Caenorhabditis elegans: one gene and its partner. The protein of the gene in region 1 purifies or fractionates together with the protein of each later gene. This does not show direct contact. Each region holds a gene or a part of one and is shown on either strand. Other genes may lie near its edges.

Region 1 (4,912 bases):
ACTTGATTTTCCGGACAATTTTCATTAAATTAGGTGATTTCCATGTGGAAAACTCATCATAAAATTGAAAATTTTGTATTAAACGGAAAAATTTTAATAAAATAAACAGAAAATGAACTGAAATTGGTTGAGGCTCACACTACAAACTACACATTTCTTCAGCCTCCCCAAACTTGGTTGAGGCTAGAAAAAGTGTAGTTTGCAGTGCGTGAGCCTCAACCAATTATCACTTGGACAGTTTGGCCTGCAAAATATGAAATTTTATGAAAAACTGGGTTTTTTTGGGGGGAAAATTGTACTAAAAAAGCTAAGTTTCACGTTCAAAACGGAAAAAAATGAAATTGAATGAGGCTCCCACTACAAACTACAACTCCACAGCCTCTAAAAACTTGGTTGAGGCTAGAAAAAGTGTAGTTTGTAGTGTAAGCCTCAACCAATTATTATTTACACAGTTTGAGCTGCAAAATGGAATAATTTATTGAAAAACTGATTTTTTAGGCAAAATTTTACTAAAAAGCTAAGTTTCACGTCGAAAACGGAATAGAAAACTAAAAATAAATTTGGTTGAGGCTCACACTACAAACTACAACTCCACAGCCTCATCAAATCTGGTTGAGGCTAGAAAAAGTGTAGTTTGTAGTGCGTGAGCCTCAACCAAGCTGCAAATTTGTCAAAAAACTTGGTTTTCCGGACAAGTTTTAGGCGATTTTCATGTTGAAAACTGAATTTTCAAAATTCTGTTAAAATAAACAAAAAATGAACTGAAATTGAGTGAGGCTCACAATACAAACTACAACTCCACAGCCTCCCCAAATTTGGTTGAGGCTAGAAAAAGTGTAGTTTGTAGTGTGTGAGCCTCAACCAAGCTACAAAATTCGAAAATTCGTTGAAAAACTTGTTTTTCTCGACAATTTTTACTAAAACATGCGATTTTCATTTTGAAAACTCATCAGAATAATTTTTTAAAAAATTCTATTAAAATTAACAACAGAAATAAAATGAAATAAATTTAGTTGAGGCTCTCACACTACAAACTACACACTTTTTCAGCCTCAACCCACCGCCAAAACCTCAATTTTTGAGCCAAAATCGCCATTTTTTCCTTTTTTTTTTTTCCACAAAATCCAACCTGATAATCAACATGAACAGTCTTCAGAAGCGTATTCAACGCCACATATCGAATATTCTTATCCGTATTCAAAAGGAATCGTCCAAGAATGTTCACAGCCAAAATGCGCAGGCCACTCTCGCTCTTAATCTCCATAATCGTGAGTACAGTCTCATAGAGAATCGCGTTTCCGACATTTTTCGCCGTTTCCGTATTCGTTGCCACTTGCGCCAGAATATCATTCATCTCTTCAGTGACACGTACGTCATCCTTCCCCAAAACTCTCAATAATCTCAGAATTTTGACCTGAAGGAACGGGTCAGAGATGCCGGTGACGTCGTGTTCCGGCGAATATCCACTCATTAGAAGATTCTTTAGAATCCGTACCAAATTCGGCACCAATTTCTTAAAATGATTCAAGACATCCGGAGATTTCTCGCACATTTCTGTGACCAAAGTCGTTGCGCCCATCAAAACTCCGTGATTTTTCTCTCCCAGAAGCGATCGGGTACATGGAATGAAGACTTCCATCAGCTCCGGCACTTTTCGAACGATACGGAACGCACAGAGCGCCGCTTTTTTCTTTAAATACGCATTGTTCTGCTTGATGATCTTCTCAACCTCGTTGGCCAGGTCTCGACACATTTCCGCTGAGCAAATTGAGCCCAGAGTGCAGAGAGCTAGTCCGCTGACGAATTGGGTGGAACAGGTGAGGTCGCTGGAAATGAAGAATTTAGTTTTAAAAAATAGAGTTTTCCGCGGAAATTGGGATTTTTTGCTTTTATTGTATCGAAAAATAGTGAAAATTCGATGAAAAACATTGAAAATGAGCAAAATATTAGTTGAGGCTCAGGCTACAAACTACAACTTCTGTCAGCCTCACCAAATTGGAAAACAAATCGTTTAAAATTTGGATTTTTAGCAAAATTTTCACCTTTTTTGCTCAATTTCCGGATTTTACAACCAATTTCTCTATTATTTCGTCGAAAAATAGTGAAAATTCGATGAAAAACATTGAAAATGAGCAAAATATTAGTTGAGGCTAAGACTACAAACTACAACTTTCTGTCAGCCTCACCAAAGTTGGAAGAAATCGTTTTATATTTGGATTTCTAGCAAAATCGTGAATTTTAAAGCAAAAATTCCAGTTTTTAGAACCAAATTCACTAATTTTAGCTCGAAAAATAGTAAAAATTGATGAAAAATCACTAAAAATGAGCAAAATCAAGTTAAAAATCTTGGTTGAGGCTTAGGCTACAAACTACAACTTTTGTCAGCCTCCCCAAAGCTGCTGGTTGAGGCTAAAAAAGTTGTAGTTTGTAGTCTACGCCTCAACCAAAATAATAATTCTTCGGATTTTTTTGTTTTCTATAGCATTTTTTACTGTAAAATCTCATTTTTGCATTGAAAATCCTTTAAAAATTGCTTTTTCTTCAAAAAATCAAATTTTGATGAGAAAAATCGCAGAAAAAAAGCTTTTAAACAAGATTTTTTCATTTTCATGGGTTTTTGCTAACTTTTTAAGCGAATTAGTGACGAGCATATGAACTTCCGATCGTTCATCGAGAAGAAGCATAGCTCCAAGATACCCAATTCGTTTGTCAGTGAATCGGGGGTGAGCCACCAGTTTCATGCACTCCATCTGAATAACAAATAATTTAATTTCCGGCGAAAAACGGTTCAATAACCTGTCCAAAATGCGCTGGGTAGCCGAGCATATGAATATAGAGCAATTTCGCGATATTTCTACATTTCCACGGAGAATCATCGTCTCGGAAGCTTTCTCGAATATTCGCACTTTCTCTATCCACCACTGCTCGCTCTTCAGCCATCGTTCGTGCCGCTCTGACCTGCCGAATTAGGTCTCGAAGCCGCATCGGAGTGCCGAGAGTTCTGAAAAAATAGAATTTACTGGGGAAATTTCGCAAAAATTTGAGTTTTTTAATGTTACAAACCTTCCAATCTTCGACTTATACTCATCGATCTTCTCAATGGCTAGCTCGACAGCCGTCGCCATCCTTGGAGCCTCACCCTGCAAAAATTCCTCATTTTTTGACGTTTTTTTTGGAGTTTTTTAGTTTTTTTTACAGCTCAGCAGTGAAAGTAAGTGGAATAAGTGAAATAAACGACGCTTATTAGTGAAAAAATGAATTTTTTAATCAAAAAATCACGAAAATCCACTAGAAAAAGCTGAAAAATCAGTGACAACACTGCAATTTTATTGATTTTTTGCATTTTACAATCCAACGCAGGGGGCGAGTCCGCAATTGCGCGTGAGGTCTGGTGTGGAGGTACCCGATTGCAGACCGTAGTAGGGGGAATTTAATTTTTGTTTTTTTTCTTTTTTCAATTTTTCGATTAAAAATCACTGAAACTTGAACTTTTCGCCAAAAAAATCGATTTTTTCCAGATGAACACCGAAGAATCGTCGTCCTCACAAGAATTGGAGGAGAAAAAACCGTCTCTCCGCGCTGAAAGATGCGGGATAGCGTCGCTTTTGTCTTCGGTAATTAAATTTCACTTGTTTTCCAAAGAAAAACCGCTTGCTTTTTAGCTCCGCAGTGACCATCTTGCGTCGAAAATCGATGAGCTATCGACCACAGAGGCTGCTGCTTCAGAAGAAATTCCCGAAGAAATCCCAGAAAACCGCCCATTAAATCGAAAAGAGAAGCGAAAACTCCAGAGAATGCAGGAAATTGACCAAGAAGTCAAGAAAAAAGCTCAAGAACCTGTAGAAATCGCCGAAATCCCCACAAATCTTAAAAATACATTTTGGTATCTGAAAATTCGAATTTTAAGTCAAAAAATCTGAAATTTTCAGCGATAAAGCCACTTTCAACTCGTACAACGCTCAATTCGGCTATAAATCAACGGAAAATAATAATTTTGTGCACTTTTCCATTCAAAATGAACAGGGAAACCGGGCTCTTGTGGCTTCACAGGATAGATTTATAAGAATGTATAAAATAGATGAAACTGTCGGTTTTTCTTCCAAAATTTCTGTAAAATAACGCTAAAAATTGCAGCCAGAAGTGATATGGAAGCATAATACGGGAAATTTGGTGCTGGATTCTTGTTGGGAAAACTCTGGAAAAGGGGTGTTCTCGTCGTCAAAACTGCGTCCAATTCAGCTATTTGATACGGAAAATGGAAGTATTCTCGGTGCTTATAATGGAAAAGATGCTGGGGTTGGTTTTTTTTTTTGCAAAAAAAAAAACGAAAAAAAAATGCTTAAAAATTGACATTTTTACATAAAAATCCAAAAAAAATTGGTTGAGGCTCAGAGACTACAAACTACAATTTTCTGAGCCCCAACCAATATTGGGTGAGGCTAAAAATAGTTGTAGTTTGTAGTCTTTAAAAGTAATTTTTCACTTTTTTTTCAATTAAAATCTGTTTTTTAATCAAATTTGTGCCAAAAACCTCTAAAAATAACTGAAAATTGCTAATTTTTTAAACAAAAATGCATTGATTGAGGCTCAGACTACAAACTACAATTTTCTGAGCCTCAACCAATATTGGGTGAGGCTGAAAAAGTTGTAGTTTGTAGTCTCTAAAAGAAATGTTTCACTTTTTTTCAAATTAAAGCTGCTTTTTAATCAAATTTGTGCCAAAAACTCGAAAAACCACGAAAAATTAAAATCTTCGCCTATTAATTCATTTCGAGACTACAAACTACAACTTTTTGAGCCTCAACCATTTTGTAGTTTGTAGTATAGTCGTTTTTCTGCAAATTTGATAAGTTTCAGAATTTAACATTTTAAAAAAATTTCCCTTAAAATTTATATAAAAAACAATCAATAA
Region 2 (8,000 bases), on another chromosome or scaffold:
CGCGGCGATCCACATCACAAAATTCGAATACTGACAAGACCGACGATGAGCTGACTGAAGAAGAGAAAGCTGTCAGAGCCAAGATTATGAATACCGTTAAATCCGATCTTCTAGAAATGTCTAGTGGTGAGCTCTCCCAAAAGGAATTGGTTGACTCTATCACCGATTATGTTGGAAAAGAAAAATACGGTTCGCCGTCATTGACAGTAGTCTATGAGATGATTATCCGAGCTGTGATCGAAAAAGGTTTGAAGGATGATGATCGAAAGAAGTTGGCTATTGCTCTGCGGATGTCATTGGTCAGCAAGACTGAGAAGCAAGCTTTTATAGAGGGGTAAGGCAAGAGTTTATGATTTATTGAGCTTTACAAATTATTTCAGAGCTACCCGTTTCTGCAAATTCGCTAATGATGTTGAGCTCCAGCAAGATTATCCCAAATTGTGGACCGTTACTGGTGAAGTTCTCGTGAACACAAGTCATGCTCCACATGACGAAATTGGAGAAGTTGAATCTTTCTCATTAGCGGACATGAAGCCAATTTTCTCAGCTGCCAAAGGAGAAGGAAATAAGAAATTTGACCTTCTTGTTCAAGTTTTGAAGCAATTGGTGAGTTATTGCAAATTTTAGTGCTCAGATTCAGTACATTGCGTTTATTTTTTTAATTTAATTTTTTTCAGATCGAGCTTGAGCTTGAAGTGACTGGCGCTGCAGAAGGAATCTCGTGGGAGTTTTCGGACATGAAGTTAAAGACTGAGATGGAAGAAGGACTTTCAGCAGAAATGGAAGCAGTGACGTTTAAAAATGGAAAAACGTTGTCGAGCTATTTGACGGGCAACTAATTTATCGTATTTTTGGATTTTCAAACTCCACAGTAGATTTATAGAGAACTTTTTTGTGTGCTAAAACCCATTTTAATTATCTATATAAGAACGAGTTGTTGATAATACGGTCTAAACATGTCAAGTTTTTCGTTTTTTCGCCGCGCGTCCATCCCTACCGATTTTATGTCTTATTGGGTATCCCATTAATGGTTTTCGATATTATTGCTTGTTTTTCTTTTGTTAGAGGTTTGCAAGAAAAGTTTCAAAATGAATAACTGATTATCATGATTTAGCTGAAGTAAATCAATTTTCAGACATTCAGATCATTTTTCCTGCAAACTTCCGCTCATTCTACAACTCGTCTCGAAACGTGAAGATTCTCTTCATTTTTCGTTTCGAGACGCAGAAATCAACTCGTTATAGCCCCTTTCCCACCCACCTTACCCTTTTCTTCTGATGATCACTAAAAATATCACGTTTTCCTCCAAATCATTAAATATTTATATCCTCATTTGGATTCCCGTTTCGTTTATTTGCTCCCAGTTCCCATTTCTTTCATTCGTTTTTCTATTTGAATAACCCTTTCATAGTCTCCTTGTTTATTGTTTCTAAATTAGCTGTTGGTTTTTTATTGGTTTCTCCCTTCATATTTCCATACCAGTTGGTCCCGAGAACATTTCTTGCTATGCTTGTTTTCGTGCTTAAAGGGTCTTTTCTAAGAGACGGTCGAAAAGTCGCTGAATTTTTTCGGAGTGCTGGAATTTCGTTGAATTGCATCGAATTTATCGTAAAACGAAGACTTTTGACTAGCTCTTAGCTTCATTTCTTTTCCAAATTTCCTAATTGTGTGTAAGTCAGTGCCTTCGGTCTGATTCCTGGATCTTCTAGAAATTGTGACAATTGGTTAATTTTAATATCCTCTCATCAGCCCATCTTAAATTTTCCACTTCCTTGAATTCTACGTTTTTCCTGTTTTAACTAATTGTCCTTCCGTTATTATCATCATCACCACCTCCACCACAAATAAAAATGGGCATCAAAATTGTTTTTTTTTTTTTTCATCATAGTTCTTGTTGGGGTTGTTCCCCATTTATATAGCTTGCTCTGTTTTCTCATCAAATGCTCACAGTTTTACGTTGACTCGATTTTGAATAAATATTTAGGAAATCGTGTCACTGGCGAATGTAAATGAAATCTAATATGAGAAGGAATAATATAAACAGTAATCGAGAGAATTTCGCCGTTTCGCAGGTTTGTTTGAATTTATTTAAAATTTAGACCTATAAAATTAAATAGTTTTTGAAAAAATTTGCTACAGTAACCTTTGATCTACCCGCGCAAATCTCAATTCTTTTTTCGTTAGAAACTTCATTCATCTTTCCTTGAGACAGGTTTTCAATTTTTGTCATTTTTCTTTACATTATAAAATTTTAAACTTTATTCTCGATCTGCGTAGTAATGGTGATGCTTGTCGAGGTTTGCGACAATGAATAGAAGAATAGGCAACTGATTTCTTTCAATTTTATTCGCTTCTCTCTCTCGTCTTCGCCTCAAAACTATTCTCTCAGTCTAAGACAAAAAACTGGTCTGGACACAGTGACTGTATGCAGAGTGTTTTTAACCCTTTTCTACCTCTCGTGTGCGCGCACGCTCACATACACACGCGGAGGATGTCCGTGAAGAAAAGAAAAGTAGAAGAGGATGAGAGACGTAGACATGTCCAGCATGCAGCATTAGTAGGGGTCCCTCTTCAGTCGATATTTGTCTCAATTTGAGTGGAGGCAAAGGAAAGCCGGCTTTTTTGGTGATCTGATCCTGTCAGTTTTATTTATGCATGATAAAATTAGTGGTTTCTGAGGCGTCCTTTTTTAAGAAAACTCGAATATCTTAATTATAAAATTATAAAATATCATTCAATATCCCTAGTAATGAAATTTTCTACCTTTTTATCTGAGTTTTTAGACGAAACGATGCGGGTTTTAAAAGAGTTTTGGAGATAAATACATTCTGTTTCCAAAAAAATTAACGCTTCGTACTGAACCATATTGTTGACATGGTGCATAGTGACATGGTTTCCCGTTTCAATAGAGCTTAGTATAGTAGTAGTTAATTAATCTACATCTTCTCTGTATGCTTTGTAGTAAATAAACATTATTTTACTTTCTATTTTAGAGAACTACCATTGGTACTCACAAGTTTCGTTTTCTTGTCTCTATTATTTAGTTTCCATGATCTTCACAATTTTGGTTTGAAACCATTGTCCATGTTTTTTTTTCTGCGCAGTTTCGGGTAATTATCCTGTCCCGCCGTTCGTCCCCACCCAATCCTCCCGTCAACACCAAAAAGCGTTCGTTCCGCTTCAATTACTTGAATCGATAGATGTTATTCGTCAATCCTCGTGGTCTCGGCACGAAAAGTCCCTCGCTTTATTCACCGTCCCTCCCACTCATGCTTTTGTTTAGATGAGTCACTATTGTTTCTTTCCGCCTACTACTACTGACTCGGCTGCAATTTTGACCTCAACTCCAATTACTTACGTGTTCGATCGATTTGGTTAGTGTGTCCTTCAGATGGTATTGTTGTGTGTTGAAGAAGTATAACACATTTCTTATTTCGCATCTTTTATTGTGTGTTCATATTGGAATTATAATCCCTTCGTAGTACGGTCTCTTTCCAATAATTGTTTTGATGCTTTTGAGAATTTTGGGTGTTTCTCTTCTCGATTTTTTGTTTTCAATAACAACAACAAAAAGAAATAAAATTCATTTTTTCGAAGTTACTTTTTGTGTTTTCAACGGTCACCTTCAATTTCCGCTCCGAAAAAGAACCTGATTTTCATAAAACGTCCGCCGCCGCTTCGTCGTCGTCATCAACAGAATTTTATCATCGCATCAGACTTGAATAGAAGCGAAAACGAAAAAAAAGACATCATTATATTAATAGTAATTTTCTAATGATGGCCATGATCACAAGTGTGTTGAGATTTCTCCGATTAGTAGATGTAGGAGACGTTGATGATGATGGTGCTGACGAAGTATTCAGTTAGATGAACGTTATTCTGCTTCTTTTCATTCTCATTCTTGACGCCTGCTTGTTTTCCGTTTCTCCGGTTTTTGGTTTGCCTCATTTGAATATATGCTACAGTACTCGACATGAGTGTAAATACTTAGGTTTCCGTATCTGACAGCTAAGCTTATTACGATTCCCGACGGATTTGACATTAATAGACCTAGCTGCATTAATGTTGTTCCTTTATTTTTGTCCTTATAATAATGCTGAATAAGAATGATATTTTAATTATTTTTGAACCGAACAAAAAATTTGCGTAATGTGCAGTACCCTAAAACGATTTCAAATTATCCCTATCGATTTGAAAGTTTTTGAAATATTTTGGTAAATTACGCTGGTTAGGATATAATTATTATGTTGCTATTCACTGTTTCCCAAGTTTTCAATTCGATACTAACCCATATAAAAGAGAAACAAGATTTTTCTTGCCTTCGTGTCTAACATCTTCTTCCAATATTTCGATTTTCTTGCCCATTTTCCCATCCACTGTCCAGGTGACGCATTAATTCAACGCAGCAAAATGTGAAATCAAGATGTTACGTAACGGGGGATCCTAGCCTAGGAATCATCAAGATCAGAGAGGTAAAAGGACATCAGATAGAGGCAGATAAATTCACAAGAGACTGACTGCAGCTGTCTTTCTTTTACGTCATGTTTGCAAAATGACTGGCGGCATCCCCGAAGGTGTGTGTGTCCTGTAAATCTAGTAGTCAAGCACACATTGAGTTTTGGAGGAAAAGGAGGAGTGTTCCGGCGAGTTTCCGCGCGGAAGAAGAGAGTGTGAGAGCAACTTGATCGTCTGGTTGCTGAGCAAAGCTACGCACACCTTTTGGCCATGTTTCCGTCGTTCTGGCTATTGTTCCATATTTGTATTGATTTTCCCTATTTGGTTTAGTCATGAAATGTTTCTCTGCAAAACTTGACGACATTACCTGATTGTTGGTCAACAAATCTTCTTTATTTTTGTCGTTTTTGTTACACATAAGAGTTTTGGGATCGCCCAAACGATTTCCGATAGTTTTATGGCTGATTTCTCTTGATTTCGTAATAATTCAGATCCTCACAGTTGTCGTATTCTCCAGTCAACACAGTAGTGACTCACTTCGGTTTGGATGACTAACAATGTCAATCTGTTTTCGTTTTCTTTCTTCTACTGTGATTTAGTGTTCTATTATGCATTGACTATTACAATAATTAAGTTACAGTCCTGATCTCGATTTTATGAAACTAACTACATCACACACTACGTACTCCCATTCCTGTCAAGATTGTAATCAGCTGATGTAAAAGAATGTCCCCTGACCGCAAAATAAATGAAGAACAGTCTATTTTTCTTAGTTCAAGGTTGACTGTAATAAAATAAAAAAGATTGAATTGAATATTTGTAAAAAATCAATTTCTCGGCTTCATAGAATTTTTCGCCAGATCTTACGCGCTCGGTCTCGCCACGCGGACAACGGGTTACTGTAACTCGTATCAACTTTAGATTACGTCTACGTAATGATCTCGCGTTTTTTGAAATATTATTCTGAATCATGTCATAAATTAATTAGAATATATCGTCGCTCAAATTGGAAAGGTGTGTCTTCAAAATATTTGTCAGTATGAAATAACTTTATTTACCTAAGAATTATTTTCAAGATTGCATAGTGCTTTTGAAAAGTATTGCTATTTGAATCCGACATTTTTTCTTATTTCCATTTCGAAAGTAATAACAAGTACATATCCAGTGTCAACTTGTCACCTTGAAGTATGAAAAATGACTACTGCACTTTTTCACGGTCGTCTTCATTTTTTTGTATTCTTTTATTCCGATATGGAGATGAAAACCGGTCGATCATGTGCCCCCAAGGGGGCTGATCATGATTTCACCCTCCTTTCACACTCTATCCCCCACCACCACCTCACAATTCTTTTTGGTCTCACTTTCGTTCCAAAAAGCTTTGTTATACTCTTAGTTTTCTTTTACTGTAATTTTTAAATTCTATTTTTTTTTCGTTGTAATAAATCTTATTTCTAAAGGTTCTCTCGAAACAATGGCTCAAAAGTCGGATATATCAGTGGAAACGGCAAATGCAACATCTGGAAAACCAAATCCACCATCACCAAAGTCCCGACTTGCAATGCTGAAGAGAACCAAGAAAGGTGAGAACATAGCTGAGTTCCGAAAAAATGATTTCTCAATTTTTGAGAGTATCCAATTGTGAATGTAGAGATATCAATTTGATAATTTAACGAGAAGATAGCCTTTTTGCCAATTTTCAACAGATAGATAATGTTATCTTTTTGTTATCTATAACATTTTCAGGAAAGAGTTCAAAGTTTATTGGTTCACTCTTTCTTTTCCCCCAAAAACTTGTGACAATGATCTGCCAAGCAGAAAGTTTGCTCCTTTCTTCTCTGCGTCTCACTTCGTTTTCTTATCTCTTTACGCTCTCTAGCGCCCGCTCTATGTGATTTCTATATCGATTTCTAACGAGTGTTTGTATACTTTTAAACTCATTAATAGATTTTGCAAATTTCATTTTAAGTGAATACCTAATTATCATGAAAAAGACGCAATTAGGGCGTTCGTTTTCCAAATCATTCAAGCAGAAAAAGGCGCGGGGTATGATTTACTCTATAATTATCAATCTAAAATTTAAACTTTTTAGCATCAAATGCATCATCGGATCCGTTTCGCTTTCAAAACAATGGAATTTCCTACAAGGTGAGTTTTTTTTAATGATTCATGTAGTAGTTTTTGTAAAATTGTTATTTCAGGGAAAGCTGATCGGAGAACAAGATGTGGACAAGGCTCGAGGAGATGCAATGTGTGCTGAAGCAATGCGAACTGCCAAGAGTATTATCAAGGCTGCTGGAGCTCACAAAACACGTATTACTCTTCAAATCAACATTGATGGAATCAAAGTTCTTGATGAAAAGAGCGGCGCTGTTCTTCATAATTTCCCAGTATCAAGAATCTCTTTCATCGCTCGTGATTCTTCTGATGCTCGAGCTTTTGGACTTGTTTACGGTGAACCTGGAGGCAAGTACAAGTTCTATGGAATCAAAACAGCACAGGCAGCTGATCAAGCAGTTCTTGCTATCAGAGACATGTTCCAAGTTGTTTTTGAAATGAAGAAAAAACAGATTGAGCAAGTTAAGCAACAACAGATTCAAGATGGTGGAGCTGAAATTAGTGTGAGTTTTTAGAATAATTCCAAAGATCCAATGCATTTTTAAATTATAAAAGTCCATTGTTATGACTTTATAAAAGTTCCAGAGCAAGAAGGAAGGTGGAGTCGCCGTCGCTGATCTTCTCGACTTGGAATCCGAACTTCAGCAAATTGAACGAGGAGTTCAACAACTTTCAACTGTCCCGACAAACTGTGATGCCTTCGGAGCATCACCATTTGGAGATCCTTTCGTAGACAGCTTCAACAGTACAGCCACGTCAAATGGAACTGCAAATATGTCTGGAACTCAAGTGCCATTTGGAGGACTTCAACTTCCACAAGTTCAACAAATGCAGATGCCAATGGTTCAAATTCCTCAACAATCTCATCAGAATTGGCCAACATCCGGAGCTGGATCATTTGACGCTTGGGGACAACAACAACAGCAGCAACAAATGCACCATGCTCATAGTACACCTGCTTTCGGAACAAACGGATTCTCGGATACTAATCCATTTGCGTCGGCTTTCAATACTCAAGCTCCGCCACCACCACTTCCAACTGTTGCTCCAACACAATACCGTGATCCATTCTCTGTACATTCCTCTGCTATTCCAAATTCAAATATTGATTGGACTGGAACTGGGACTACGAAAGAGAATATGGCACCATCTACTAATATCCAACAACAGCAGTCATCATTGCATCACGCCAGCACTTTTGCCAACTTTGGAGATAATAAGTGAGTGATATTCTAAAACCTAAATTAATAATAATCAAAAACAAGATTCAGGGCCGAAACCTGGAGTGAAAAGAAGGTGACGTCGCTTGAAGAAGCTTTCACGAAATTGGTTGATATGGACGCATTGGTTGGTGGACAGGGTATCAAGGAGACAAAAAAGAATCCATTTGAGCATATCTTAAACCCACCAAAGGTACAATTTAATCTATT

What was found.
Region 2: the proteins of apg-1 (region 1) and dab-1 purify together in Caenorhabditis elegans (affinity purification with western blotting, with the first as the bait; one study listed by BioGRID). This does not show direct contact.

The regions. Positions count from the first base shown.
Region 1 is NC_003279.8:14,404,256-14,409,167, reverse strand, and holds the start of apg-1 (AP-1 complex subunit gamma), read right to left. Parts: upstream 3,141-4,912; 5' UTR 3,126-3,140; coding exon 3,064-3,125; intron 3,002-3,063; coding exon 2,797-3,001; intron 2,751-2,796; coding exon 2,626-2,750; intron 1,827-2,625; coding exon 1,130-1,826; intron 1-1,129. Other genes in the region: tcab-1 (WD_REPEATS_REGION domain-containing protein), read left to right, coding at 3,519-3,614, 3,663-3,883, 3,930-4,086, 4,135-4,296.
Region 2 is NC_003280.10:8,220,404-8,228,403, forward strand, and holds the start of dab-1 (PID domain-containing protein), read left to right. Parts: upstream 1-1,984; 5' UTR 1,985-2,072; intron 2,073-5,912; 5' UTR 5,913-5,926; coding exon 5,927-6,035; intron 6,036-6,316; exon of another isoform or gene 6,317-6,437; coding exon of another isoform or gene 6,438-6,498; intron 6,499-6,544; coding exon 6,545-6,600; intron 6,601-6,653; coding exon 6,654-7,073; intron 7,074-7,149; coding exon 7,150-7,790; intron 7,791-7,835; coding exon 7,836-7,983; intron 7,984-8,000. Other genes in the region: ifg-1 (MIF4G domain-containing protein), read left to right, coding at 1-334, 381-606, 678-839.